Linked DNA regions of Xenopus tropicalis. The protein of the gene in region 3 interacts with the protein of the main gene of each other region in a biochemical or structural test. Links are inferred from orthologs where the notes say so. Each region holds a gene or a part of one and is shown on either strand. Other genes may lie near its edges.

Evidence for each region.
Region 1: the proteins of ube2b (region 3) and rnf40 form a complex in vitro, tested with the Homo sapiens proteins (3 studies listed by BioGRID). The link is inferred for Xenopus tropicalis from reciprocal best matches to the Homo sapiens genes UBE2B and RNF40.
Region 2: the proteins of ube2b (region 3) and rnf20 form a complex in vitro, tested with the Homo sapiens proteins (4 studies listed by BioGRID, with this or other methods). The link is inferred for Xenopus tropicalis from reciprocal best matches to the Homo sapiens genes UBE2B and RNF20.
Region 4: the proteins of ube2b (region 3) and ubr1 form a complex in vitro, tested with the Homo sapiens proteins (2 studies listed by BioGRID and IntAct, with this or other methods). The link is inferred for Xenopus tropicalis from reciprocal best matches to the Homo sapiens genes UBE2B and UBR1.
Region 5: of the proteins of ube2b (region 3) and uba1, one has a biochemical effect on the other in vitro, tested with the Homo sapiens proteins (10 studies listed by BioGRID, with this or other methods). The link is inferred for Xenopus tropicalis from reciprocal best matches to the Homo sapiens genes UBE2B and UBA1.
Region 6: of the proteins of ube2b (region 3) and ctnnb1, one has a biochemical effect on the other in vitro, tested with the Homo sapiens proteins (2 studies listed by BioGRID, with this or other methods). The link is inferred for Xenopus tropicalis from reciprocal best matches to the Homo sapiens genes UBE2B and CTNNB1.
Region 7: of the proteins of ube2b (region 3) and pcna, one has a biochemical effect on the other in vitro, tested with the Homo sapiens proteins (2 studies listed by BioGRID). The link is inferred for Xenopus tropicalis from reciprocal best matches to the Homo sapiens genes UBE2B and PCNA.

Annotation. Positions count from the first base shown.
Region 1 is NC_030685.2:13,689,302-13,693,511, forward strand, and holds part of rnf40 (E3 ubiquitin-protein ligase BRE1B), read right to left. Parts: coding exon 4,076-4,210; intron 3,975-4,075; coding exon 3,853-3,974; intron 3,528-3,852; coding exon 3,172-3,527; intron 2,945-3,171; coding exon 2,827-2,944; intron 2,665-2,826; coding exon 2,515-2,664; intron 1,939-2,514; coding exon 1,726-1,938; intron 1,473-1,725; coding exon 1,347-1,472; intron 1,227-1,346; coding exon 1,086-1,226; intron 1,002-1,085; coding exon 900-1,001; intron 644-899; coding exon 467-643; 3' UTR 1-466.
Region 2 is NC_030683.2:57,237,895-57,242,104, reverse strand, and holds part of rnf20 (E3 ubiquitin-protein ligase BRE1A), read right to left. Parts: intron 3,134-4,210; coding exon 2,989-3,133; intron 2,767-2,988; coding exon 2,581-2,766; intron 2,439-2,580; coding exon 2,320-2,438; intron 1-2,319. UniProt on the Homo sapiens protein: Component of the RNF20/40 E3 ubiquitin-protein ligase complex that mediates monoubiquitination of 'Lys-120' of histone H2B (H2BK120ub1).
Region 3 is NC_030679.2:26,523,040-26,527,693, forward strand, and holds the start of ube2b (ubiquitin-conjugating enzyme E2 B), read right to left. Parts: upstream 3,228-4,654; 5' UTR 3,125-3,227; coding exon 3,081-3,124; intron 1-3,080. UniProt on the Homo sapiens protein: E2 ubiquitin-conjugating enzyme that accepts ubiquitin from the ubiquitin-activating enzyme E1 and transfers it to a E3 ubiquitin-protein ligase. In vitro catalyzes 'Lys-11'-, as well as 'Lys-48'- and 'Lys-63'-linked polyubiquitination.
Region 4 is NC_030684.2:105,763,419-105,767,628, reverse strand, and holds part of ubr1 (E3 ubiquitin-protein ligase UBR1), read right to left. Parts: intron 3,466-4,210; coding exon 3,335-3,465; intron 2,573-3,334; coding exon 2,431-2,572; intron 1,666-2,430; coding exon 1,603-1,665; intron 852-1,602; coding exon 728-851; intron 15-727; coding exon 1-14. UniProt on the Homo sapiens protein: E3 ubiquitin-protein ligase which is a component of the N-end rule pathway. Recognizes and binds proteins bearing specific N-terminal residues that are destabilizing according to the N-end rule, leading to their ubiquitination and subsequent degradation.
Region 5 is NC_030684.2:533,099-537,308, reverse strand, and holds part of uba1 (ubiquitin-like modifier-activating enzyme 1), read right to left. Parts: intron 4,187-4,210; coding exon 4,089-4,186; intron 4,006-4,088; coding exon 3,859-4,005; intron 3,750-3,858; coding exon 3,573-3,749; intron 3,494-3,572; coding exon 3,383-3,493; intron 3,299-3,382; coding exon 3,218-3,298; intron 3,122-3,217; coding exon 2,966-3,121; intron 2,881-2,965; coding exon 2,715-2,880; intron 1,917-2,714; coding exon 1,720-1,916; intron 1,308-1,719; coding exon 1,243-1,307; intron 779-1,242; coding exon 583-778; intron 364-582; coding exon 289-363; intron 187-288; coding exon 1-186. UniProt on the Homo sapiens protein: Catalyzes the first step in ubiquitin conjugation to mark cellular proteins for degradation through the ubiquitin-proteasome system.
Region 6 is NC_030682.2:53,374,638-53,377,781, reverse strand, and holds part of ctnnb1 (catenin beta-1), read right to left. Parts: intron 2,651-3,144; coding exon 2,500-2,650; intron 1,503-2,499; coding exon 1,381-1,502; intron 1,036-1,380; coding exon 975-1,035; intron 679-974; coding exon 470-678; 3' UTR 456-469; intron 1-455. UniProt on the Homo sapiens protein: Key downstream component of the canonical Wnt signaling pathway.
Region 7 is NC_030679.2:123,021,385-123,026,379, forward strand, and holds the start of pcna (proliferating cell nuclear antigen), read left to right. Parts: upstream 1-2,022; 5' UTR 2,023-2,139; coding exon 2,140-2,360; intron 2,361-3,420; coding exon 3,421-3,518; intron 3,519-4,303; coding exon 4,304-4,371; intron 4,372-4,732; coding exon 4,733-4,927; intron 4,928-4,995. UniProt on the Homo sapiens protein: Auxiliary protein of DNA polymerase delta and epsilon, is involved in the control of eukaryotic DNA replication by increasing the polymerase's processibility during elongation of the leading strand.

The DNA.
Region 1 (4,210 bases), on a different chromosome or scaffold from region 3:
GAACGGGCTGCCTGGTTGGGAACATAGGGCTTCTTCTGTCATTCAAGGCTGTAAACAAGAAAAGCACGGCACCGAGCAGTTGTGTTCCACATGCCCCAGCGGCTGGGCGCTACTGTGTGATATAAAAAAAAAAAAGTGCAATCTCTTAGATCCAGTCGCACCGATCCAGTCGCACAAATTCACAACACTGAAGGTTCCGCCAAACAGCTTGGTCCTACGGGTCTCTTTATTGTCCACTCTGAACAGACATTACTTGCCCACTTCTCCCCCTCTCCCCATTCATGGGGATCCTTGTCCAACCCCTTAAAATGAGGGTGACTGAGGAGTACATCCCAGCCATTGGTGGGATTGCCAGATACTGGGGCATCAGTTTGTTTGGGTAACCAATCACGGACTTCCATCACATTACGGTCCAAACGGATGCACCTTGTGCCAATGTTAATCGCAGAGCCTACCGCGTCGCCCCTTAATTGATGTAAATCCGGTGAAAGTCGTGGGCTCCGAAGGCTGCGTTGCACTTGGGGCACTTGCGCTGCCGGGACTCGTATCGGGTCTTCACGCACTCGAAGCAGAAGACGTGAAAGCACTTGGTGAGGACGGCGTCCTTTTTCCGAGTGTTACAGCAAGGGCAAGTGAGTCGGGCCTGGAAGTGCCGAAGGGGTGGGAAGTACAGAGGAAGGGAGAGAAGGAGAAAGTGTCAGTACCCAGAACACATTGCAAAGCATTTCTTTCTAACCACCACATTATTGCTATAGCCTCTTCCTGTCTGTAGAGCTGACCCGGAGCCATTACAAACCCAGGGCCATTCGCTCTTTGCGGATTTTATTCCAACTTGATGTTCTCAAAGCAACTAATAAATAGTCTTAAGTGCCCTGCCCGACCCACTGCCCCTTACTTACCCTGTACTCTTTAATCTCTTCCTGTAGGATTTGGTCAGCATCTGCATAAACCTCCATCTTCTTCTGCTTTTCCAGTTTCCTTCGCAGCCGAGATACATCCTCCTGTAAAGGCACAAACCCCTGAATAAGTGAAACACACCCAATGGGCCGGATAATAAGGCACTCTCTGTGGGTCAAGCTTCTTACCTGAGCTCTTTTGAGACTAAAGGACTCCTTTTCTTTAGCGCTTCGGTTCTCACATACAAAGTTCTGGGTATCCCTAAGCGTTTCCCCTACATGCTCCATTTGCACTTTCAGGTCTTCGGCGAGCTGGGCTGCCTCGACTGCCTAGAAAGCAACATAAATGTATATAGTTATAATGGCGCAATACGATGAGCTCTTGTTTAGCAGAGGAATCAGAAGCATCAGCAATGAGCATAATTATAAATTATAATTCAGGTCGCTTACCTTCCTCTTGTTCAGTTCCAGTGACTGTGTTCTAAGAGTGACTTCCTTCTCAATGGAAGTCAAAGACGTGTGTAAGAGGCGCTCTCTCTCCTCCAGTTTCTGTACCTGTAACAGCTGAGCATCCACCTGAGACACACACAGCAACAGTGTTACATAATAATAATAACACACACCTTTTGGCACCAAGCAGTAGCGATGTAAAGTGAACAGTATGGCAAAAGGCTCCCTCTAGTGGCCAAAGATCCATTAACCCACTTTAAATGACCCATAGAGAACAAAGAAATGGGAAAAGTACCACAGACCCCCACTGACAGCAAAACCCAAATACAGAAAGTATTGGTTCCTTTCTTGACCCATTTTGCATGTAGCAAGTACCTACCTGGGCTTTCAGCCCTTGCACTTGCTCAGCCAGCTCCTCCTTCTCTTCCCTCAGGAGTTTGTGTATCTGGTTGGATTTGATCCTCTCGGACATCAGTTTGAAGTTGGCGTCGTCCTTCTCACGGAGCTGCTGCATCAGACGAATATTCTGTTCTTGCATGTCCTCAAACGCCTGGCCCGTCACGTCCATCTCTGACAGTAAGGCCTCCTCCTCCTGCGTTTAGAAATGAAATAGGCAGGGTTAATATTTATTTCTACCAGGAATTCCATAGGCCAAATGACATAGGGAACAGGGCCAGGGTGGAGTTAATTGCTCTGTTTAGACAGCATCAAGAGCCCTTTGGCGCTTAGGAGCAGGAATCCAGCACTGTGGGACTAACACAAAGGGGCTCATTCATCAACGATAGGCAAATCTGCCTGTGGGCAGTAACCCATGGCAACCAAACTGTTGTATTTATTGTTTTTTCTGTAGCTGGCTAAAAAAAAAGTCATTCACATAAATGTCCCTATGGGTTAAAGTCCATAGGCAAATTTACCCAGTACTGATAAATGAGCCCCAAGGTGGGCAGACTTAGGTCTTGGCCCTGTTGTCCGTGGCTGCCTGGAAGTATCCCTTGTGCTTATCCTTACACTTCCTTGCTGTATGAAACACATTAAAATAGCAAAGCAGAGTTAAATTGTGACACAATTACTATGTGTCTTTACTCCTAGTGGGAGCAGCCTTTTACCCCCAGTGTTCCTGAGTCTGCTAAGTTGTCTGTATTTCCTAAACAGCCCCTTTGTCTCTTACCTGTTTGGTGGCAGTCAGTTTCCTCTGTAAATGGTCTATTTGTTCCTCAGCCATCTTAATTTTCCTCAGTGCTTCTTCATCTGCAAGTTTCTTCCTCTCCCTCTTGTCTTTCTCCTCAAGAGCTTGCACCCGCGTGCGCTGCTCCTCCATCTGCAATAGAAAGGCAGAAACAGGCACAGAGTGCATGATATAATCCCTTCTATAATACATGTACACAATCAGAATGCAAGAACCTGCACCAATCAGAAACACGTAGATAACCAACAGTGCAACCATCAGCCACGCATGTATTTGTAGGTCAGAGAGACGCACCTCGGCCTTGGTCTTTCTCTCCGCTGCCATCAGCTGCACCTTGTCTCTCTGCTCTTTGGGGGCAGATTTGTACATATCGAGCAGCAGCTTCATCTCTTTCTGGCTCTCCTGGGCCTTCCTGAAAAGGAACATGAACAGTCATGTGAATGGGGTGGGAGGCAGTGTGTTAAATGTAAAGGGTTGATAAATTTGGCTGGTTGGATTGCAACAGTTTATAAACAGAAGCAGGGAAGCAGACAACTGATTATGTGAATAATCCAATGGGAAGGACTGAATGGAAAGCAGGCAGCAGTTGGCGGGGGGAATCGGCAATGTGCAATAACTGGGAAGGAAAAGTTCTCTTACTTGAGCTCTGCCCGGAGCTGTTTCAGAATGTCGCAGTCTTTCCTTTTGCTCTCATCTGTTTTCTGCTTGTCTTTCTCACGCTCCCTTTCCTTTTCCTTGTCTCTTTCCCGATCTTTGTCTCGCTCCCGTTCCGCCTCCCTCTCCCGGGCTTTGGTCCGCTCTGCTGCCTCTTTCTTTTGCTCTTCCTCCTCCTTTTTTACTTCAGGGGTAGTGGGAGTCTCAGGCTCTCGTGGCACGACTGCAAGGGGTTCTTTCTTCACTTCTACTTCTTCCTCTTTGACAGTAACGGGGGTCGTTGGTTCCGATCCTGAAGATCCAGGCTGAGGACAGGGTGGTCCGCCGATTTGAAAACGCAGCTGGGAAAGCAAGGGGCGATAAAGCGGGAACCATAAGAGGGGCAAATCATCAGTTACAAAGTATAAAAGAAGAAAGGTTGCTGTAATAATACAGTCAGGGACTCACTTTCCCATGATCTGAAAACGCAAACTTATATCTGTGGAATGTTCAGCTCTCAAGCTGATCTTGGTTCCCTAGACAAACCCTTGAAATAAAACTGTTGCTTTATAGCCATTTTTTCAGCACGTGCCCATTCCAGTATCAAACAGCGGAACAGGTTCTAGGCCCCGGGCAGTTTCCATTCATGCCAGCTGCAATAGGTCACTCTGGGGAAGCCCCTCTCACCTTGCTCACCTCTGCCTGGGAATCTCGCACCTTGCGCTTGTATCTTTGCACATCTCCCTTCAGTTGGTGGTTGTGGTTTTGGAGGCTTCCAATGAGATGCCGCATCTCCCTATTAATAGGACCTGATAAAGGCAAGGATACCGAATGTGAGCAAACATTGGGGCCATGTGCTGTGTCCTGTGGTTACCATCATGTTCCGCTACATGACACGCTTTGCTCTTACCTGCTTGCTCATTGGCTGCCAGGTTCTGCTCAAACTCTATCCTCAGCATTTCATATTCTTTGCGCACCTGGGCGAGCGTATCCTCCAACTGGATCACTTCAGTGCGCAGTTTCTTTTGTACAGACAGCTCCTCGC
Region 2 (4,210 bases), on a different chromosome or scaffold from region 3:
TTAGCATCACTGTCTGTTTACAGTAGAAATGCTTTCCATAAAGTTAATTTTTCTCTCCATGGGTTTCCTGAATACATCTGCATCATCTACCGGAAGGGTAGTTTTCTTCTAGCTAGTCTGGCCATAGTTGCATCTACTTTCAGAAAAGAATCCAAAACCTTGAATCTTGCTGATCACAGGGCTATATTTTTTCTAAATGAACTTCCCCACCGTCACAGCCTGTCTTCTTCCATTCTGTCACAATAATCTCATTAATGGGAAGAATGAACGTAAAGAAAAGGTTTTCTGCAGATGAGACTTTAGGCTAATGCCAGACAAGGTGTAGGGCGGATTATTTTCGGCAAGCGAAAAAGGGCTTTCTGAAAATTCAGCCCTATGCCTCCTACATGTGCCTGCACCCGAATGAATGATACACGCTCGGGTGTAGGCACATGTAGCCCATTTACACAGAAAAATACGAGACTCTGCATTATCTCGCGTTTTCAACTAAACTAGAATTTAAAAGTTTATATATTGTGATTCCTCACAATCTTGGATTAATATCTGCGGGAAAGCCTTAAATTCTGACCAGACAGCACCCCCTACTGAGTTTTTTAAAGGGATGGTTTACCTTGGAGTTAACTTTTGGTATGTTATAGACTGTCCTATTCTACTAACTTTGCAATTGGTTGTCTGCCTTCCTTTTCTAGCCCTTTTTGTCTTTCAACTTCAGAAAGAACGCAAATGGACATATAAACTTGACTCTCTGGCAATATAATTGTGTCAATATTGTGCTCTCAGCTATATGATTACTTAAGTCCAGACAGGGGACCATAATAATGTCATTGTCCACATATAGCTGCTCAGATGCACATGAACTCACTACTACCATCTACCTTTAGTGGCTGCAACAGATTTACCCCAGATATGTTCTCCTGATGTTACATGACATCTAATTGTGTCAGAATCTAATGATCTGTTTGTGCCAATCATATAACTGGGTAGTACTAGTGCCGGGTCCGGTGAACCTGACCGTGCCAACCAATAGACCCATTTGGTTGCTACTTGCTATGCCCCCGCTTTCTTACTGCTTAAGTACTTGCAGCTTTGTACTGCTACTGTTGCAGAGGGTAGTGCTAATCACAAAAGCAGGTATGCATTTCTGAGGAAGGAGGGGCATCCCCCGAAATGTTGTGTGCAGAGATCTCGATAAACAAAAAAGTTATTTAGCGCAATTGCTGAATTTTGAGTGCCATCTGTAACAGTTCGATGTTGTTACTATGCATTGGGCTCCAGGGCTTACAGATTTGAACACCACATCAACTTTTGAACATTATTTACAATTTGTAAGGATTGTGAAATATTCTCTATGACAACACACTTCAACAATCCTTCCTGCACTGCTATGTGAATGCCGGCTTAACATACGTGCGCTTCCATGACAACACACCTTAGTTTTTATGAGTGTGCTCCGGGTGGAAGTAGTTCTGAGAGGGTCTGACAGACTTAGGTTCCCTGACCAAGTTACAATAATGGGGGAGGATGTGGCACTCCTCAAAAAATTGAGTATACAATGTTGTTCACTTCTAAATGTTGGATACAGACTGCATTCACTCTGATTATTTCACACATGCTATTCTGGCACGATTTCTCTACACTAGGGTATTTAAGTTTGGGTGGAGGGGTAAATTCTGTTTGTGTGTCTTGGGGCTCACAAGAAGAATGAAATGTTGACATTTTGATATATATATACCAAGCAAAAGATACCGCACTCACAGGACTTACTTGAGAAAAAGGTGATTTAATATTCACAACATAGCACTGACGTTTCGGCTGTCTCCACAGCCTTTTTCAAAGAGACAGCCGAAACGTCCGTGCTATGTTGTGAATATTAAATCACCTTTTTCTCAAGTAAGTCCTGTGAGTGCGGTATCTTTTGCTTGGTATACATCTGGAATTTATAATACTGCACCCGGGCATCCAGTGACCTTTAAACGTGAGTGCCGGCTTCTTGAAAGATATATATATATATATATATATATATATATATATATATATATATATATATGTATATATATGTATGTAGAAACAGAATCGCACTCCCAGGACTTGTGAAAACCATACCTTTCTGTAATTTAGGTCTCCATACCTTAAGTCTACAGAAACATCAAACCTAATAGACTCTCCAGTTAGTTATCTACTTATGTGCAAAACATATTATTAAAATGTATGACATGTTTTCTCAAAATTACAAAAAATGTCTATATTTAACATTGTATAAACAAAAACTTATATATTTAACATTATTTTCATTAACCGGTTACAAAAAAACCCACTGACCTCTTGGGACATATTCTGCTGTTTCTCTTGTAGCAAGTTACAAATCTCCTGCAATCGTGCATTCTCATTTGAGAGCAAGGAGTTTAAATCCCTGACAGCCTCTTCCACGTGAGATGGATCTATAGAGAGAGTCGGAAGATACAGGAATAGAGATGTAAAAGTTCTTCAGTGTGGTAATAACAAAATTAAAGCCCAAGAAAAATAAAACTCAAAAAGAATAAAATGGAACAAAAATCATAAAATTGAAAGACTGCTTCCCACCAGTGCTATTCAGTTTCTTGGCAAGATGGTCCAGTTGGTCATGCAGTCGGTCATACACCAAAACAATACGAGAGACTGCACGTCGTGAAGATTCTACACGTTCTTGTAGCTGAGATTCAATTTCTTCACTGCTGCTGCTGGCCAGAGTGGCCAAAAAGGAAAGAGGAGCTTCCCATAGTCCTTCGCCTACAATGAGTTAACCAGTCAGAGATTGTTTGGATTTTAGTTTAAAGGTTCAATACAAAAGAAATAAAAACCCATTTTATGTTACAAAATCTAAAAAGTTTCCTCAGTTTTTTATTTCCACTGAAAACTGATTTACTTAGTGGATATTTATTGTTATAAACATCATCTTTTTGAGAAAATAAATGGTGTTCTTGTTCACCACTATCCCTCCCTACTGCTTACCCCTTTCATTTTCTTTGCGTTCTGGATTGCTGTCAGAATCTGGCTCTGGCTCTGGCAGAACCAATGCTTTGCGTTCTGTCAGAAACTCCCCCAAGTCTTGATCCAAGTCATAACGACCCAAAAAAATGCCAATATTTTCATCAAACTGCAATAAAAGATTTTAAATGAATGAAAAATAAAAGAAATTTAGGGCATAAGCAGAAAAAATGAAAATGTGGCCATTTCAACATGCCTCTTCTATACATCAACAAATAGGTATTCAACCGCACAGCCCTTAGATCAGGCTTGATGCATCAATCCTCGCAAGGCACACCGCTGAGCCATTCAATACAATCCAAATATAGAGGAGAGCACCATAAAGCAGAATTCTGCTAAAATGCTATTTATTTCAGACAAAAAAACACAACATGTTTCGGGCAGTGTGACACACTTGATAAAGGGCGTCACACTGCCCGAAACATGTTGTGTTTTTTGGTCTGAAATAAATAGCATTTTAGCAGAATTCTGCTTTATGGTGCTCTCCTCTATATTTGGAATGCCTCTTCTATACATATGTGTTTGTGGCTTTATAAATATTTATGTGTTATACACTGAGTAATGTGGACTGGACAGTAGTCAAAGAGAAGCAACTGGGGAGAGCATCTACACACAGCATCTGAAGTGATCAGGGCAGAATGTGAGGGCTGCAGACCAGAGGGAAGCCATGATCAACTGGCTAGAGAAAAGGAACCAGACCATCATGTTCTGTGTTTGTGGGTAGCTATAATAAGGTAGACTTCATTATTAATCTGTAACTAATGTAAATATATTGTTTTGTTTTAAATAATCACTTAATTTTAACAGTCAATTGATTTGTTATTCAATAAATTCATTTTATATACACTTATTGGTGTGGATTATTTGTCTGCTTCTCAAAAGAAGCGTAACCCTAGTAAGAGGGGTGATTAATATATTATTATTACATATTTATTTATATAGTCAGAATCTTACACTATACTCTTATTTTCATCAATTTCTTTACATTTATGCAAAATTCATACTTTTGCTATCAATTTTACATCCTTTAAAATTAACATTTTAATACCCAAGGCATTATCCCTTCACAACAAAATCTGCAAGTTTTCTTGCGAGAGACCAGTAGTTCAAAGTTCAAAACTTTTTATAAACTGGTCACAAGGACATGAAACTAGTGTAATTTTAAAAACTTTAGGCTATGATAATA
Region 3 (4,654 bases):
ATTTAGTATATATCTGCATCAAATTTAATACTGAAGTTGGGTGAACAACACACACCCAATAAATTACCATTACATTAACAAAAATAAACAAAATCCTGTTACTCCAGAGAACTGAAAAGCTTGTTGGCAGGGAGAGACAGCAGATCTGTGGTATGCTTACATGAGGGACAAACCCCACACGCAGAACATAAATGTATTCTTATCCATATTCCTTTTATTTGCATAAAAACAATTTTATAGAGATACTATCATCCTATAGTTATGTGCCATTTAGAGGTACAAGAAACATTATTCAGCAAAAACTCGAGTTACATTGTATGCAATGCTATGAGTCTCATTTTGGTGCACACTATGCCATTTACAACAATAGACATTCTGAAAAATCAAGTTTTCTTATCAAGTGGGTATATATACACACACACACACACAGGTATAGGACCTGTTATCCAGAATGCTCGGGACCAAGGGTATTCCGGATAAGGGGTCTTTCCGTAATTTGGATCTCCATACCTTAAGTCTGCTAAAAAATCAATAAAACATTAATTAAACCCAATAGGATTGTTTTGCATCTAATAAGGATTGATTATATCTTAGTGGGGATAAATTACAAGGTACTGTTTTATTATTACAGAGAAAAAGGAAATTAGTTTTAAAATTCTGAATTATTTGATTAAAATGGAGTCTATGGGAGACGGGCTTTCCGTAATTTGGAGCTTTCTGGATAACGGGTTTCCGGATAAGGGGTCCGATACCTGTCTTGGCAAAAAAATGATAAGTTAATTTAAGCAAAGAAATCCTTTCTTTGCTTAAATAAACTTATCATTTTTTTTGCCAAGTCCTGGTGTGTGCAGCTCACTGTCTTGCTTTATATATATATATATATATATATATATATATATATAGCGCCTAACTTCTAGCGCCATTTCTTCTATCTGCTTCAGTAGTAAAGTTGTGGCTCTAGGTAAGAATCGGAATTCCAGGTTTGTTTTGCATTTATTGTATTACATTTGAGCAGATTTGCTGGATGAGGGGGCAAACACATGTTATATGGAAGAAGTCAACTGGGTGGGTGTCACATCTGGGACAGTTCTCACCAGGGCATTTTTAATCACCAAAACCTATAGTAGGAGGAATACAAATAGAAAAAAAAAACCCTTCCGCTTAAACAAAATTGAAGGGAAGCCAAAACAGAAGCCGAGTTCTGAAATGACATAAGACTTTAAGAGCTTCACTGTGTGGCTGCTACAAAACCGGTATGGATGCTGTCTGTATATTTTATTAATAAGGTGCTACTTGTGTATGCATCACTAACAGGAGAACAATACACTAATAGGAGTTAATCCAAAAATAAAAACGAATAAATACAAAGCACAAAGTGATACTCAAGATTAAGTGCTGAGCGTTAAGGACCCAAGTGGAATGAGGTTCCCTGACATTCTTGCTTTATGATGCAATAAACTGACCTAAAAAAAACAATGTTAACAATACAAAGATGTTTGCCCAGCTAAAGATTATATTTATCTGTGCAATAATGTACGTTACAATAAATGGATGGACTGGATACTTTTTGCTTTTGTATTTCTAGCAGACATCAATATGTCATCAAATCACCAAAACCAATAAAACAAGTGATTGTGAAGTGTAGTCAATGTTCAGAATACCTTATCTACTAATCACATTGCACAACTGCCAAAAACAAAGCTGTGGACAACAATGCAGGACTAAAAATCCAATTAAGTAATTAAAAACATAAAAAAACATAATGCAAAAAATAAATAACTGATCAGTGGGGCCCATTTATAAACACCAGGCAATTCTGTACATGTGCAGTAACCAACAGCAACTAATCAACATTTTCTCTCTTTTTTTTTTTCAACCTGGTGAATAAAAACAAATCACTGGCTGGTTGCTATAGGTTTCTGCCCAGGTGCAAATTTGCCCAGGTGCAAATTTGCCCAGTATTGAACAGCACTCTGTACATTAAGTAGTTCTATATAAATATACATACAGTGTTGATCAATAATCCAATGTAAATGTATTGGTCAAAAAAGCTGATTCAGTATTCACAATGCAGACCAAATAGATTTTTATGTGCGGCCAAGCATGCAAGATAAAGCAAAATTGGAATTCTGGGAAAATGTGTTTATGTGTAAAGCCTTTTAAAGAGCTGGAAGGCAACTGCAGGACTGTACCAGCAGCAGAAATGGGGCAGATAAGGCTAAAGCTAATGATGACCAGCATTTCACTAACTGCCAGAAAACCTTTCAACCACATTGCTGGCAGTTCATATCTTTGGCTGAGGGTGTAAAAGGTGGCCAAACAGTACCTTGTACTTGAGCCTAAGGTATAATTAATCCTTATTGGAGGCAAAATAATGCTATTGGGTTTATTTAATGGTTAAATGATTTTCTAGTAGACTTAGGATATGGAGATCTAAACTACGGAAAGATCCCTTATTCTGAAAACTCCAGCTCCTGAGCTTTGCGATTAACAGGTCCCATCCCTGTATGTATTTTTGGATGTGGGTGAGGATATATCTTACAAAACAATACAGATAAGCACATGGCAGCATGGGGATAGAGGGGCCGGCTGCACTAGCACACACTGCCCACTATAACAGCCATAAAAAATACAAAAATAAACTTTACAGATAAAAAATAAAACCTAGCAAAAGTGAAATATAATTGTGGGGTCTACTATAACTCATTGGCCAACTGCTCTATGCTGCAAAGAGATCTTCCATACTGTTCTCTATAGATATTTAAGGAGATGAACTGGCCTAGTGCTTATAGCCAGCAAGAAGTGGGGTTTTGTGATTTTCAGTGTCCCTAACATCTTCCCTTTACGGGTACTGATCCACTGAACGCCCAGGAGGCCTCAGGTAACCCCCCATATGCTGCAAAACTACAACTTCCAGCATGCCAAGCGGGCAGAAGGCGAGAGGTGTAGTCCCACAAGAGCAGAAGCGCCGAAGGTTGCCTGCCCCTGCCTTATACACTAGTCGTGTGACTTGGTGGCGGAGTCGAACGGAACTCGCAGTGAAGCCGATGAGGGAAGGAGCCTGTAACAGCCCTACTCACCTCTTGAAGTCCCTCATCAGCCTCCTCCTGGCCGGGGTGGACATTGCCCCTGAATAGAAGCAGTACGGAGGGGGAAGGGAGGGAGCCCAAACCCGGCCGCCGCTAACTCAGCAACCCTGGCACAAACAAGCCGCAATGACGTTGCTCAGTGCTCCCAACATGGGGCTGGACCAGAACGTTTCATAGGACCGTACCAACTACACCGGAGAGGGAGATTCCGTGCTAAGCTGCCATTTTTGCAAAATGTTGCCCCGAGATTCACTGCGGAGTTTAATAGGAACATTTGTTTTTTATTGTGACGCGGCATGCCGTTTTCTTGGACGTGGGGCAGTGTGATTTATTGCTGACGATCACCCCTGTCATCCGTACGAATGGTCGCTTCCATAAGTGACAACTCAAAGTTCCTGAGGAGAAGCGTTGCATCATATCACGTGGTGTTTGAGCTCGGCTTTCCTGGGAGGGTAGCTTCGGTGAAAGTTGATGGTTCTGTAGAGTATTCTTTATAGCGAATAAAGTCTCTTACTGGAGATGCTACAAGTATGGTTCAGCACCACCAGTAGGCACACTGTTTAAACATTCCTGTTTTATATAGTCTGCAACTGAAAACTGCTTGGAAATTGTATTGCAGAAATATAGTCAGAGAAAGATATGGCACATGTGCCTGGGTTGTATGAATAACATGCACCATAATAAGTCACATTTATTATCAGTTTAATAAATATTTGTCTTCTGAAATGATTGTGGTAATACCCCAGGCTGTTAAAACTGGAAAGTGACCATAATGTAAATTTCAGAGATAGTAGTTCTTTTTAAAGAATGGGTTCTGCCAAACCATCTGCATATTTGAACACTTGGTAATCTCATCAGTTGCAATAGGTGATTATTGCAGAAATAGCAACTGATCACAATTTGCAGGGACTGTCTTAGATCTTGATATACAGAGGAGGAAATAATTATTTGACCCCTCACTGATTTTGTAAGTTTGTCCAATGACAAAGAAATGAAAAGTCTCAGAAGAGTATCATTTCAATGGTAGGTTTATTTTAACAGTGGCAGATAGCACATCAAAAGGAAAATCGAAAAAATAACTTTAAATAAAAGATAGCAACTGATTTGCATTTGAATTTTCATTGAGTGAAATAAGTTTTTGAACCCCTACCAACCATTAAGAGTTCTGGCTCCCACAGAGTGGTTAGACACTTCTACTCAATTAGTCAACCTCATTAAGGACACCTGTCTTAACTAGTCACTTGTATAAAAGACACCTGTCCACAGAATCAATCAATCAAGCAGACTCCAAACTCTCCAACATGGGAAAGACCAAAGAGCTGTCCAAGGATGTCAGAGACAAAATTGTAGACCTGCACAAGGCTGGAATGGGCTACAAAACCATTAGCAAGAAGCTGGGAGAGAAGGTGACAACTGTTGGTGCGATTGTTCGAAAATGGAAGGAGCACAAAATGACCATAAATCGACCTCACTCTGGGGCTCCATGCAAGATCTCGCCTCGTGGGGTGTCAATGATTCTGAGAAAGGTGAAAAAGCATCCTAGAACTACACGGGAGGAGTTAGTT
Region 4 (4,210 bases), on a different chromosome or scaffold from region 3:
CTGTCGGAAGTCACCTGAAAAGAAATGATTCATTTTTGAACCTCAAATGACAATGTATATAAAGGTACATACATATACACTAGACTAGAAGGAACAGCAATGTTTACAATATTTATATAACATTTAATACACTATATATACAGTACAGGATTCTCGGCCTAATCCACCCAGTTGGGTAAGGGCCTAAGCGCGGGCAACAAAATTTCCCCATCCGTCACTACCCTTTATATTTCTTTAGTTTTAGAAGATAGAAACAACTAAAGTTAAATATTTTACTCACTATTATGCTTCACTTGCATGTGAACATTGCAAATTTGTTTGTACAACGATAAATACAGAAAATATTGGATATTTTATATTATATAAAAAGAATATTGTACTGACCAAAAATGAAGTTAGTTAACAGCAAATGTATTTTCAGTAGTGATGCTCAGACTAAAATTTAAAAATGAAACCAGTAGAAGGCACAATGTTAGAGAAAATGCCACATCCTCTGGACATATAGTTACATAAACAGATTTTCAGCCATAACAGGATTTCAATTTTAACAATTAGGGGAAGAACTTTCCAACTACACTCCTTCCTGGTAGAGTAGCTATCACTGACAGAAAGCAGCTTTGTTTTTAATGGCATCTAAAATAAGTTGCTCAGTGCACTCGATCTTGAGTGAAGATACCACACATGGGGAAAGACATTTTTCACAACAAGAACATTAAGAGATACTTACTAGAGTAGGCCAGGAGTTTGTTAAGCCAGATTGCTAAACACAGTGCAAAGCTTTGATGGGCCATTACATGACCATGCAGCACCTCCACGTGGACAGGTTTCAGCGACACGTTCTCTGAATTAGCCTACCAGAAAAAACAGGGGTAGGGGGATAATGATAAATCTAATGATGTTTTAATCATTTGTTCAGTATTTTTCACCTCAGAGAGCCCTGAAAATATTCAGGAAAATGCTACTGATTTGAAAAGGCCCATGTCTCTTTACATGACTATTACTAAGCTAACCAAAATGCCACTGAAGTATCACACACAGAAATAAGCATTATATTGAACAATACCAAAATTGCAACTGAACAACAAAAACCACTTTACTTTTTATGACAAAAAATGAGTGTGTAAAATATGTTAGTGTACACATGTCAAATTTTTGGGTGTCTGCTGTTGTTCTGCTGGGACTCCAGGGGCAAACATTTCCCTACCTGGCTGTTTGCCTAAGGTGGGGGGGGGGGTTGTTTACAAAAACACTAGACATGTTTTAAAGTTTAGTGTTACTTATGCTGCCATAAATGTGCAGATTAAACCTCTTGACCTACCCTCTCCAGACACAGTTGGCAGCTTAAGGGCCTGTGTACTGGGCCCTCAGGGGAAGTAAGAATCACCAATGAAGCATTACAGAAGCCCTTTCTGCCTGCTGTCAAACACCACTTCCCTGTTAATGGTACTCAGAGCAGCTCTAAGACTGACGGCACACTAGATTAGGGCTATGTCACATGTGGTATTTTTTGTCTGCTATCTCTGTTCGTCCCTTTCATTGGCTACATGGGGAATCAGAGGGAATAGTTCATGGGCCACAATTATCACAACAATACAGACTTACCTTTAGACTTTCTGTCACCTCCTGGCATTGCTCTAAAGTACCCTTTTTAACAGCTTTGCGGCCCTATAGGGGAAAGAGCATTAAAAAAGGACAGTTTCATTCAAAGTAATAAGCTATTCTCTAATAGCCCACTAGACTTTTACACAGGCATGGAATCCAAATGAAGACAGAAAATAAATGTTAGGTGGCTATCCTACAATAGTGTTTAAACATCTTTAAACATTAACTTTAATCCTTTCAAATGAGCCACAGTGCCCATATATATACACACTTATACAGACTTATCTATATACTCGCATATATAAACTATACAGTAATTTAAATTATCCACTAATTTAAATGGGTGACGATCATTTCTGTAGGAAAAACATCCGCCACTATCTGTCTACAATGTTTTGTAATGTATTTCTAAATATTAATCATGTCCCTGGGTGGAAACTCCCTGATTCCATGACCAAGCAGTTGTTCCATGTGAACCCTGTTTGGGTACCCAAGTAAATTAGAGGCTCTCCATCCCCCACCTCCTCAAGGTACAGGTTAAATTTTTTTCCTGACCTGATTGATGCTCTACTGCAGTGACATTACTTTTGATTTCACAGATTCGGGTCCTGTTAAAATTTAACACCTTACAAGTAGGGTCAGGCAGTGGGCAGTGAGGATGGAGCATAGTAGGTCAGTGGGTTTGGGTCAGGTTTTGGGTCCGAAGATGGGTCTGTCCAACTGGACCCATGCAGTCATTACCAATTCCTATGTTCTATAGTTCTAAGGCAATAAACCTGGCTTAACTATTACAATGTAAAAGTTATTATTCCCTTTGGTATAACTGACCTCTCTCTCAGCTGCACTGGTTAATGTCTGTGCTTCTTTCTGATCACAACCAAGCGATCTCTGCAAACTGTAGATGAAGTGATCATAGGTGTGGTGTTCATCATTGTAAAGTACACAGTAGTACTGGTTCCACTCCACTGTCCTGCAAGGACAGGATGCTGTTTTATTAACGGTCACAACATTAACAGCACAAAGTTATCGAAAACACCAGTGACAATACCAAAAACATTAGCAGTAATCCAAAGAAATTACATTTATTAGCATACACCCTAATTGAAATTACAGTTGAGATGTTTTCATTTTAAGGCTAAAGCCAGACAGGGCTTATTTTCAGCCTGCATATAAGCGCAGGCTGAGGATCAGCTGATCAACAGGCATCTGCTTGGTTGTGTGTCTGCACCTGGAGCCACTACATCAGGCTGGTTGCAACACACAAAGCTGGTTTTGGCACTGAAATGTGTTTCGGCGCCAAAATCTGCTCCATGTCTCTGCACTTGGGCAAATAAAGTGGCTCTAGATGCTCTACTGAAAACATTACTTGAGATCCTTTTGTCTAGTGCTAATTTAAAGACAAACAAATTCAAGTTTAACTGTAAATATGAGGTATAAGGTCGATGACACTTGAGGAGATTAGTCGGCCCATGATTAATCCCCTCTAATTGTGGCGACTAATCTTGTTGAATGCCTTCCTACTGGTGAGAATGTAAAAGCATATGGGTCGGTTTTCTGAAGTTGCCTTGTAAGGAAACTTTGGAAAGCTGAATTGACAAACATGTTTTTTTTTACCAACAATTTACATCCTCACCAGTAGAAAAGCATTCAAGTTGGTTAGTTGCCAACACCAGAGGAGATTTATGGCACGGCCACAAATCTCCTCATGTGTCATTGGCCTAAAGAGACATACCCTGTATCCAGATATGCTGGCAAACTCTTTTGTTCTTCCCAGATTAACATGTCTACTATATACCGGATAATCAAAGGGAATACTATTTTGGTTTGGGCCAGAAGTTCATCCTTCAAACGAAAGTCTGAATTCTGCAGGGAAAAGAAAGAAAACGTGTTATTTAAAGGGAAAATATCATTAAAAATTGAATGTATTTTTCACTAAATCTTTTTTAAATTACTTTATATTCTATTCTATAGTTTCTATTTGCTAAACATATCCAGTTTCCATACAGCTCCATATTTTTAAACTGGAGTTATTTTTCAAAATCGTCCCAGTACCATAGCCCTTTTATAACAGAACATGTTCTCTGAAACTCACTGAACACCACTTCAGAATTTTAAACCCTTAACAGAATTAAGCAGACTGACAAGAAGGATGAAAGGAATCACCACCATAATCCATACAAATTTTATAAGGTGTACTTTTATAAATGCTGGAAATATTAATAGTAATGTAACAATAATTAAAGGAGCAAGTATGGGGGCTAAAAAATATTGAATATAACATTTTGAGCAATATAGCAAAGAAAATATCACTTATGACCTCGTGAAAATCTGTCTAAATACTCAGTTTTTTTGCTAAGTTTGTGTTTGCTGCCTAATTATGTATGTCTGGATTTTTAGGCTATCACGTTACCATCTTGTGTCTGCACAGAGAAAGAAAAGTATCATTCATCTAATAATTAGCCTAGAACAGTGTGAAATTAAACAGAGCACTTTAGTCCTTTTAGCCAGGGTACAAATTGAAAGACAAGTCAATATTTATAAAGCCTGCTTCATTATTATAAAACACCTTTAACTTTCCTGAAAGAAAACTATTTGCATTGCACATCCA
Region 5 (4,210 bases), on a different chromosome or scaffold from region 3:
AGAGGCGTGGGCATTTTGGATCTCCTGGTCCGACACGTGGATCTTGACCCCAGATTTGGGGGTGAATTCGGGCACCTTTACACCTCGGAGGATTTCCACCACGGCGCCTCGGTCTTTGGAGCCGCCGATTCCGTACGACAACGCGAACAAGTTAGCGGCCGCCATGATGTAATCCACGTGCAGCCCCTGGGGGCAAACAGAGCCGTCAGTGGGAGGGGCTTGGGCAGAAAGGGTGCGGCTAAGTAGGAAGGGCTTCAAAGGGTGGGATCGCCATGGCTGCATACTCACAGTGCTTCCGCTAAATGTCAGTGGGTGGGGACATCTCTTGGGACCGGACCAGAAGGGAACCCCCGCAGAGGTCAGCTGGTGGAAAACACAAGATTATGTAGAAAGATGAGGGGGGAGGGGGCAGGTAGGTAAGATGATGGGCGAGGGGGTTGCACTCTATGGTCAGGGTCGGTGGTGTAACTATAGAGGAAACAGACCCCCTCCCCGGCCAGCTCTTCTACCCAGACTGGAGCAGGGAGGCTTTGCAGGCCGGGCCCCTCCCAGAATTCCCTTTGCCCCCCCCGGGCAGCTCACCTGATCGGGAGGGAAGTTGTGCAGTAACTGTCGGATATTGTTGGAGTACTGAATGTGCCAGTGCTTACAGGCCCACGTCACACAGTCTGCCCAGCTCTTGGGCCGCTCCGTCACCAGGCTCTTATACACCGCCTCCACCACCTCCAGCGGCTGCGACCCCGGCAGCTTCAGCGTGCGCTCCATGAACTTGGGGTCTCTGAGGGCGAACGGAGACAGGCGGCGTGAGAGACAGCCAGAGGCGGGGGGAGAGGAGAGACAGCCAGAGGCGGGGGGAGAGGAGAGACAGCCAGAGGCGGGGGGAGAGGAGAGACAGCCAGAGGCGGGGGGAGAGGAGAGACAGCCAGAGGCGGGGGGAGAGGAGAGACAGCCAGAGGCGGGGGGAGAGGAGAGACAGCCAGAGGCGGGGGGAGAGGAGAGACAGCCAGAGGCGGGGGGAGAGGAGAGACAGCCAGAGGCGGGGGGAGAGGAGAGACAGCCAGAGGCGGGGGGAGAGGAGAGACAGCCAGAGGCGGGGGGAGAAGAGAGACAGCGAGAGGAGGGGGGAGAGAGACAGACAAGTCAGTGAGAGGTGGGGGGAGAGAGACAGCAGAGGAAGAGCTCAGACCCCAGGGGGCCCGTGGGGCAATATCAGCTGCCCATTCCCCCCCCCACGTTACTCACGTTAAATACTGGTTGACGTTTTCAGCCGGTTGTTTGAAGAGCCCCTCAAACTCATCCCGGGCCCACTGCAAGCACAGAAATGGGGCAAGTTAGTTATGGCTCCCAGCCCCCCATCAGGGCACAATGGCCTCACCCATGGGGCAGCACCCTGCCCCCCCCATCAGGGCACAATGGCCTCGCCCATGGGGCAGCACCCTGGCACCCTGCCTCCCCCATCAGGGCACAATGGCCTCACCCATGGGGCAGCACCCTGCCCCCCCATCAGGGCACAATGGCTTCACCCATGGGGCAGCACCCTGGCACCCCCATCAGGGCACAATGGCCTCACCCATGGGGCAGCACCCTGCCCCCCCCCCACATCAGGGCACAATGGCCTCGCCCATGGGGCGCACCCTGGCACCCTGCCCCCCCCATCAGGGCACAATGGCCTCACCCATGGGGCAGCACCCTGGCACCCTGCCCCCCCCCCCCCCTCACCTGCAACGTGTGCTCGATGGCATTGGGGAAGTTTTTCAGGGTACAGATGGGGATGGATTTCTCAGGGGGGTCCTGGCTGGAGCTGTAGGACTCGGTCAGGAAGGGGATGACCACCTGAACGTTCCCCTTTGTGCCCAGTGTGCCCGACTCCAGGAGAGGCTTCCGGTAATACACACAGCGCCGGTCCATATACATCCCTGGGGGTACAGAGCTGGGTGACTGGCCAGGAAGGCAACCCCAAAACAGAGGACCCCCCCCCCCCATACCAACAACTTCCAACTACAACTGTCAGGAAGTTGGTTTCCTTCATGTGCACTTACATCAAATATCCCCGACTACCTCCCTCCCCCCCCAGTACCCCACACCCCCATCCCTGCCTCCCTCCCCCCAGTACTCCACACCCCCATCCCTGCCTCCCTCCCCCCAAGTACCCCCATCCCTGCCTCCCTCCCCCAAGTACCCCCATCCCTGCCTCCCTCCCCCAAGTACCCCCATCTCCATCCCTGCCTCCCTCCCCCAAGTACCCCCATCTCCATCCCTGCCTCCCTCCCCCAAGTACCCCCATCCCTGCCTCCCTCCCCCAAGTACCCCCATCCCTGCCTCCCTCCCCAAGTACCCCCATCCCTGCCTCCCTCCCCCAAGTACCCCCATCCCTGCCTCCCTCCCCCAAGTACCCCCATCCCTATCTCCCTCCCCCAAGTACACCCATCTCCATCCCTGCCTCCCTCCCCCAAGTACCCCCATCCCTGCCTGCCTCCCTCCCCCAAGTACCCCCATCCCTGCCTCCCTCCCCCAAGTACCCCCATCCCTGCCTCCCTCCCCCAAGTACCCCCATCCCTATCTCCCACCCCCAAGTACCCCCATCCCTATCTCCCACCCCCAAGTACCCCCATCTCTATCCCCGCCTCCCTCCCCCAAGAACCCCTCCCACAGAACAGTACCCCATTACACCCCCCCCCCCCGGGTGGCGCTATTGGGCCTCAGGCCCTACTCACTGGCATCAATATTATCTAGCGCATTGGCCACACCATCCAGAGCTTCGAAGAAGTCGTCGTCATACACCTTCTCGGTCTCGGTGCCCACGCGGTTCTGGTGCGCAGTAACACGCAGGTTGGGATTCATCTGCTTCACGGCTGCTGCCGCCGTCTCCGATTTCATTTTCTGCAATGAGGGCAGAGAGACAGTCAGAGACAGTCAGCGCCCGGCGTCAGTGCCCCGGCACACAGGAGAGACAGCCCCCGCTCACCGTGACATCCCAAGGCCTAAACAGGAACTGGCGATTCAGGTTGGATTTCTCTATAGTGTCCATGTCCGTCACAGTGATTTCCCCGCCTTCTCCTGCTGCCAAGCCAATCATAGCAAAGTTCTTTAGCAGCTCACAGCCAATGGCGCCGGCACCAACCTGCAGAGAAGGCCATATATGTGCATATCAGTACACTGGCAGCTATACCCACCCCCCCCGGGCACTGCCCCCTGCCTTGCCCACCACCGGACATACCAGGAAATATTTCTGCTTGCCCAGCTGCTCCTGGAAGGTGGAGCCAAACACCGCAATCTGCCCATCGTAGCGGCTGTTCTTCTGCAGAGAGAAAAGCACAAAGGTGAGAGGGTAAGGGGCAGGTAAGGCGGGAGGAGGGGCTTAACTGTACCAAGTCAGACTTACTGGGCTGCAGTTCTCCTCCGTTAGGGTGGCATCGGCATTCTCCTCAGGCAGGCACTCCAGGGCATCGAAGTACAACCACTGCATGATGGGCATGAACTTGCCAGAGCAGGCCTGCGCGGGAAGGAGAGTCAGAGGGGCCACACCCGTCCCCCCCCCCTTACCCCTCACATACACAATAGGGAAGATTTACCTTCATTGCTTCCTGGGCAGCCAGACCCCCAATAAAGGCATTGATGGGCGCAAGGTTGCCCCGGGCCTGGTATGCCAGCTGCTTGATGAGGCTTTCCTTCACCTCCTCCTGCTTCACAGCGCCAGGGGCACCCTCATTAAGGGTCTGTGTGAGTGCCAGCACCTCCTGGGCATCAGCCTGCAGGGGGGAGAGAGTGGTGAGAGCGGGCACGGGGTGGCACACACTGCCAGGCACACAGCTGTTTCTGGGTATACCTGGCGCCGGGGCAGATATAAACCCACCTCACCTCATTGTGGGCCTTAGGGAGGTGCCCGTGTTTCTTGCGGAACTCATGAAGCCCCTGGAAGCCGAGGTGCAACTGCGCGGGGTGATCGAACTTGGCGAAATCCGTGACCAGGAAGTCTGGCTCCTGCAGCGATTCCCGCAGGGGTTTCTGGGGGGCAAGCAATGCCCGGTTATAGGGGTGCACAGCACAGACTGGCACGACATGAAGCAGCACAACTGGCAGTTACTCACAAAGCTGATCTTCTTGGGCATCTTGACCTGAGCGACGATGCCCCCGCGGACGTAGTCGGAGAAGCGGCTGGTGTCACATATACTGAAGGTGTAGGGGCCTGCGGGCAGGGGCACGGGGTTAA
Region 6 (3,144 bases), on a different chromosome or scaffold from region 3:
GTGGGCCACAGTGCATGCATTGCACAGAGAATCCTCCCTCAGTCTTTTTAAAACTAAACTTAAAGACTACATTTTGGAGCACTCGCACAGCCCCTGATCTGGGAACTAGCATTTATATTGTAATGACACCCACTGTAACCTACAGCACTTATGTTTCCCTATTTGCGTTGGTAAGTTATCCTCCCATCTAGATTGTAAGCTCTATGGGGCAGGGACCTCCATCTTATGCAACTGTACTGACTCTTATTGCAACTGTATCTTGTATCTATCTATTACCTTAATAACCCCGTTTGTATTAATGTATTCTACTGTACAGCACTGTGTACATAAGTAGCACTTTATAAAGATATACATACAGACAATTTGTGGGGGTTAAGATTTAACTTTTATATTAAAAATATGCATAAAACAGGAGTAACATTAAAGTAAAGAGATCTGCTTACATGAAGACTTACCAAAAAGTAGATATTTACAAGTCAGTGTCAAACCAGGCCAGTTGGTTGCTATCACCTGGAGGCAGGCCATCCATAAGATCTTGGGCATGACTCAAATCAGGAAGTCCATCAACTGGATAGTCTGCACCTGGGTGATGACCTGCCATGTCATGATCCATCATTGAGTCCATACCCATTGCATCCTGGCCATAGCCAGGGGCATGGAAAGATCTGTAGCTTGGATCTAGATCAGAATTAAAAAGCAGTTAGGTCACATCCAAAGCCTGTCAATGTGTTAACCAAGATATACTTGCTTTACCCAGGTACACAGTTATAAAGTGCTGGCATGACTATTGAAAACGGTATATTGAATAGTTTGTGTATATGTAACATGTTAATGTATTAAAGCAGCTGTCTGAAAAAAATTGTTCCCTTTAACATTTCATTAAAACTACAAAGACTTTGGCAGCCATTTACTTCAGGTCTACAATTTAGGCTCTAGTTATAAATGGGCCTTTTTTTCACCAAAACACAACTTACCATCCTGTCTGTAGCCAAGAGGTTCACCTTGGGCACCGATATCAAGACCAAGGTCTGCAGCCTGAAAAAGTATTTACTTTATTATTACACAAAAATATATGTATACACACTACCGATACTCTAGATAATTTTGTATTCTTATACAATTTGTGTACATGAAAATGCAGCAATTTGCAACAGAGCAAATACACCTGCAAGTAACTGCAATTAAATGCAGCTTTAGTGACATTTTGAAAGTGGCATTGCAACTGTTGGCCCTAGAGTAAGAGCTAAAATCATGCAGAAATCAGGACATGGGACATCTAAACTGAAGCCACTTTTCATGGGAGCCTTCTGTGACATTAGAGTAGAAGATTTAAATGTATGAAACATTAATGTTTATAAGTGCTAAGTAGTTGGTTCTGACCTCATTCCATGGCATTGGCTCTGTTCTGAAGAGTGAGCTTGTTAACTCCACTGAGAGACGCTTCTTGTAGTCCTGGGGTTTGTCCTCAGACATACGGAACAGAACAGCAGCTGCATAAGTTGCTAGAAAGCAAAGGAAAGATTGTTAATATTTATAGGCTCTACAACACCAGACCCCTCAAGCTTTTGAGAAGGCAGAATCCGATGATTAGTTGTATAATCCTCTCTAGTGAGGGACAAGTCTTACAAAATGTTTAAGCTTGAGCCCAATATGCATACCTTGAACTTTGATTCAATGTTGGAAGATGCTGGGATTTTAAGCACAACAATCTGGGGTCTCAAGGTTACACAATATCAAATTTGGCACTTCTGTACAATGTGTACTTTTTCTAAATTCTTAAGACACATTTTACATTCTTCATTGTGTTTGAGAGTGGGCTTATCTGTGGACTAGTAGTTACTAAATATTTGGCAGTGACTGTAGTCACTTATTCTGCAATTTTAGTGCAAAGTACATTTGTATTAAAGGAAAAGTAACGCTAACATTTTTTAAGTAAAAAAATTCTATTCTACCCTGCCCCAATAATTGCCCTATCATGCAAACCACTTAGTATTTTGAATTCTTTATTAGAAAATACCCGATTAAACAGCTTTAGGTCATTTGAAGTAAGGCGATAAAGCGAAGGAAGGATCAGCATCCACTTTGCGACAATCTATCGAGCCAAGCCCGACTCCTTCCTATACAGAAGGAAGGCTAGGCTCAATCGATTGTCGCAAAGTGGACGCTGCTCCTTCCTTCGCCATATTGCCTTACTTCAAATGACTGGAAGCCCAGTTTTAGCACGTATTTTCTAATAAAGCATTCAAAATAATAAGTGGTTTGCAGGATAGGGCAATAACTTGAATTTTTAGTGTTACTTTTCCTTGAATAGGCAAATGTGTTTTGCATAAGTCAGTTTACTGAAAAAAAAAAAAAAAAGGTAGACTTCACGTTAATAAAAGCTAGGGTTTATTGTCCTTTTTGTACTTATGTTAAGTTGAAAAATGCAAAAACAAACACTTTAAAAAAAAAAAAAAAGGGCTAGGGTTCTTAAAGGTACAGCATACTACAAAAACTTACCAACTCCTTCATTTCTAGAGTGAAGCAGTTCAGTAAGAGGAGCAGTTGCACCTTCAGCTTCAATAGCTTCAGCAGCCTCTTTGTCTTGTGCCAGTTCACAAAGTACACCTGCTGCCACTCTTTGGATGTTTTCAATAGGAGAGTACAGCAACTACAAAGAAAAATTTTAAATGTTTTACCAATTGATACAGGTTAGTGCACAAAGAAGTTATTAGTATGGTTTATTTGCCATGGAGCATACGGCCAATAGTCTGAACTTTACCGAGCTTATTTATATGAAAGGTGTGAACAACATCTAGCCCTGTGCCGTCTAAAGGTGGCCATACACAGGTAGATTCTAGCTGCCGATATCTGTCCCTTGGACCGATTCGGCAGCTTATCGGCCCGTGTATGGACACAAATGATGGGCCTGCCCGACTGACATCTGTCCTGGAATCGGGCAGATACTGATCGACAGGTTAACAAATTTAGTCAGATTGGCGACATCAGCTCGTTCATATGGCCCCTGAACAGACTATATACTGCAGTTCTAATTCGGTCGGAATTAGCCTGAAATCACCCAATATCGCCCGCCTGTAGGTGGGGATATCGGGAGAAGATCCGCTCGCTTGGGAGATACTGCCCCTGACATGAGCTCCTCCATAG
Region 7 (4,995 bases), about 96 Mb from region 3:
TCTCTTAACCTTCAGAGCCCTCCATTCCTCTGCCCCTCACTACATCTCTTGTGTCTCCATATGGTCCTGGCCGACTCCTTCGTTCCTCGCAGAGCAATCGTTTGGTTGTGCCCCCCACTACTACTGCTGTTTCCCGCCTTAAACTTTTCGGCCTTGCTGCCCCTTACATTTGGAATGCCCTCCCTGATTTCCTCCAGAGAAAATCCTCCCTCAGTCTTTTTAAAACTAAACTTAAAGACTACCTCTTGGAGCACTCACCCAGCACCTGATCTTATAGTTATCATATCCGTGTTCAGTCCTGCTTCAACAGTGTAATCAATACCAACTTGGCCTGCCTCTCCTTTTAACTAAAGGTGGCCATACACATACCAATATTATCATATGAAACTTTGTTTCTCATGATATTCGGTGTTTGTATTGAAGGAGACGAGGTGACTGATATTGCCAAAGGCCTTGAATATCGGCCATCTCATCAATCAAGCGGGATAGAAAATTTTGATCTGGCACGTTTGAAGGTGCCTGAGAAAAGGCAATTATTAAGCTCTGAATCATCAGATAGGGGTAGAATTATTTTATTTCTAACTACATATCTGACAATTCAGCTCTGAATGATAGAGGAGGGTATGACCAATGGTTGCAGGAAAGATTATAATTGTAATGTGTATGGCCACCATAAGACTTTCCCTTAACCAGATTAGTTAGAATGGGTTTACAACAGCAATGATCAACAGCAGTCTGTAGGATGCTGCATAAGGATGAGTGAAGCCTCAAAATGTAATTTACAAAGAATATGTTACGAATCCAAACAAATTGCTCCAAAAAGTCTGTGTCTGATTTAATACAAGACCTATATTCGTTCTGGTGACAGTCACAATATATTGGCTGTGCCTTGATCTTGCAGATGGTGCAATTTTTTGATCTTGTGGATGGTAGTACTCACAGAGCCTCAGGGGATTTTACTTAACCCTGAGTCCATTTGAGCTTCAACACTGGCTGTTCTGGGGCAGTAGAGCTTTTGTTTTTTGGCCTACAAACAAGGCTGGAACACTTAGGGGCTAATTCATTAAACCATGATTTTTGGGTGGTTAAAATCATGATTGGAAAAAATTCGGAGTAACCACAAAAATTCTTTTCTCGTACGAAAATATCGTGGTTGCGTTCCGAATTTTCGGATCTGAACGTTCGTAAACAGTGTGAAAACCTTTCTGGCTTTCATAGTCTTCCATAGGACTCAATGGCACAGATCCAACCTGGCCAAAAGATAGTAAGATAGTTTACCAAATTGAATTCCGAAATGGTTGTAGTCTTTCCAACTTTTTGGTAGAAGTTAACGAAAACCATGAAAAAGTCATGGAATTTTAACAAAATTATTGTGGACATTGTGAAAAGTTCTACAAATTAGAAAGAATAAGATTTTTTCTCAAAAACAAAAAGATTGTGGTTTAATGAATGGGCCCTATAATTTTGCAAGTATTCTGGCCTTCGCAGCATGCATTCCTATATTTATATCTCCACCATTAATTACATTGGCATCAAGCATTATTTTTACAGGCCAGGGCAGTAAAATTTTGGGCTCAGGTGGCAGCCCTGGGGTAGGGAGTAAAGGTGGTAGAGAGTGATTGGAGGTGTAATGGGGCATGATAGTAAAAAATGTAAAACATAGAACTAATATGTCTGCGGTTTAATATATAAAAAAATTAATGACCCCATCCTTTCTGCATTTTCAGGGCCCCAGTAACTAAATGTCCTTTGGGTCTGTTGTCACTGACCAGAACTAGTATAGCTAATCCAACAAATTACAGTTATTTATATTTATTTTTCATATTTATTAGGTGTAGAGTTCATAATGGGGCACAAGCAAAGCTTATATAACGGAGACCATGGTGTTTCAGTGACAGGGACTGACTGCACAAGGAAAGATATGAGGGGGCGGGTCATAATTTTGGCGCCTTACATTCGTATAGTGACATCACCACTATAATATAAGCGGCGGAAGGCCGGCTGGCGGGCTCATTTTGGCGCCGGAGCTTCAGTTGGGAGGAGGTACCACAGAGGTACTAGGGAATTCAGCTACTGAGCTCCGCCATCTGCACCCCCGGCACACTTCTCTCTTTCCCCCAGCTCCGTACAGCCGTCACCATGTTTGAAGCTCGCTTGGTGCAGGGTTCCATCCTGAAGAAAGTGCTGGAGGCCCTGAAGGACCTGATCGATGAGGCGTGCTGGGACATCACATCGAGCGGCATCAGCTTGCAGAGCATGGACTCCTCGCACGTCTCGTTGGTGCAGCTCACTCTGCGATCGGACGGCTTTGACACCTACAGGTGCGATCGCAATCAATCCATCGGCGTCAAGATGAGCAGGTAAGGAAGCTATGTGGGCGCTTAGTAAGTGCGCAGCACTGCGGAGATCACTAGTTGAAGGGACGGGCTAGTGCGGCAGGCTTAATGCGTCCAGACTTTACTATTGGGTACACGTAGCGCGATACACGCTCTCATTTTATTGTATTTGGCGCAAATATGTATTCCATACATACATATTCCCCCCCCCCTCTGTCATGGACTTGGCCGATCTACTCCCCCCCCCCCCGCCTCTGTCATGGACTTGTCCGTTCAAGTCTCAGTGATTGCGCGCGCAACCTGGCTTCCCGCGTGACGTCACATACGCGCCAACTTCAACAAAGCCGCCGGCTTGGCGGGAAACCGGCTCATTGTGCCAAGCTTCAGCAGTGCGGCCACTCTAATCCAAATGCCACAGGATAGTTGGAAAATAAGAATTTTATCAATGAACCGAAATAAAATTATTTTCCTTAGTGTTGCCTCACTTTGTCTAACACTTCCCCTACACTTCACTGAGGCCCACAGCTGCTCAGTGTCTTTTCTTTAATGGGCCCTCATGGGTTCTATGTATATCTTTATAAAGCGCTACTTATGTACTCAGCGCTGTACAGTAAAATACATTAATACAAATGGGGTTAAGATAATAGATACATACAAAGTATAACAATAAATACAAGATACAGCTGCAATAAGTTAAGAGTCAAAGAGACAAGAGAATGGAGGTCCCTGCCCCATATAGCTTACAATCTATATAAAAAGGTAAAAGGAATACGCTGCTGTATGCATCTGGAGTGTTGGAAAGCTCCTTCAATGGGGATTTTTTTGTGCCGCCTTGCTTAGACAGGGCCCCTGGTTTACTCGGATTGTAAGCTCTACGGGGCAGGGACCTCCTTCCTATATATATATATATATATCTTGTCCTCCCTGTGTGTAAGCTGCGTACCCTTGTGGTGCTTTATAAATAAAGTTATACATACATACATTGGAGTAAAATGCCCAGGTTGCTTACCAAGATGTCTACCTTTGCCAGTCTCCTGTTTGGCATTATATATAACTATATATCTATCTTTACTTTTTTTCACAGTATGTCTAAGATCTTGAAGTGTGCTGCAAGTGAAGATATCATTACTCTGAGGGCAGAAGACAATGCTGATACAGTTACAATGGTGTTTGAGTCGCCAAGTGAGTATTTGCAACATTACACTTTGGTTTTCATACCCTTCATGCCAATAAGTAAATTCTTTATTATAGTAGCTTGGTGCTTATTTCATTGGCTTGGAAGGCAGGGCTAAAACAGTTATAGGTAATGGAACTTTTTAATGGATTTTTATAACTATAGTATCTTGATTAATTTGTGCTAAAATAGAAACAAGAAATGCTTGAATTACTGATTATACTGTACCAGCCTTCAAAGTTGTACAAAGCAGGTAGCCATCTTGGCTCTTTTTGTGGCCTTGTAAAATTTCCTTCTGACATCAAACCATGTTAAATTCTGATCCAGAAGGCACTGGTCACTACTGATAATAAATTAAATTAAATTAGGCTTATGTTTTAAATTAGTGTGCATATACTGTATATTTGTGCAGTTTAGAAGTGAAGTTTAGGGGTTGTTGTAAATCATTAAAAAAAAAAAAAAACTAGGTTTCTGTCATAGCTATTACAGGGCATTATTAAATTCTAATGCTAATTGCACTGGTTTTTAAGGTGCCAGTGATAAGAATCTGAAATACTATTCAGCCTTATCTTGTGACGTTTATATTCCATATATGTACAGTATATTGTCGGTCCCTAAGCACAGAGCATGGGCAGTGAATCAGCAGAAAAGATGTGGAAGCTATTTGAGGGCACATATCTTCCCTGCTAAAGGGCCGTGTTTGCCTTGGGCTGGTACAGAACCTCAAACAGTGAAGCATTTCTGCCCAACGTTTTTGTTCTGCTTAAGTTTAACTTAAATGTTTTTAATTTAGATCAAGAGAAAGTTTCTGACTATGAAATGAAGCTAATGGACCTTGATGTGGAGCAGCTGGGCATTCCTGTAAGTATATTTTTTTAATGTTTAAGTTGTTGCTGATTTTTGTCTGCTTACAAAACAGATTCGCTAGGATCACTGTTCAAAACGTAACTGGACACTTTTTGATTGTCTATTAGTTATTGCAAAATTTAAACCCAAAGCAGTGTACACTCAGTTTGTACACTTCAGTTGTTTTGGTTTTTATAGTTCCAGTCTTGGGGTTTCACAAAGTTCTAAGGGGGTAATATACATGCTGCTTGTAGAAACTCCCCTTCCTCTGTACCCATGGCAGTTATGTGACCTCTTATGCCAGTCTAAAGTAACCCTGTCTAATGCAGTTAATTTTGGATTGCACTCTGCTAAATTGTCTGGTTTCTCATGACAGGAACAAGAGTACAGCTGTGTAATAAAGATGCCATCTGGTGAATTTGCACGCATCTGCAGAGATCTAAGCCAGATTGGTGACGCAGTTGTTATTTCTTGTGCAAAGGATGGGGTAAAGTTCTCTGCAAGTGGAGAGCTGGGCACTGGAAACGTAAAGCTGTCACAAACTTCAAATGTGGATAAAGAGGAGGAAGCTGTAAGTGTTTCAAAACCTATAGTGTCATTTTGAAATGTAATAGTGCCACTGTATATAGATGTGACAAG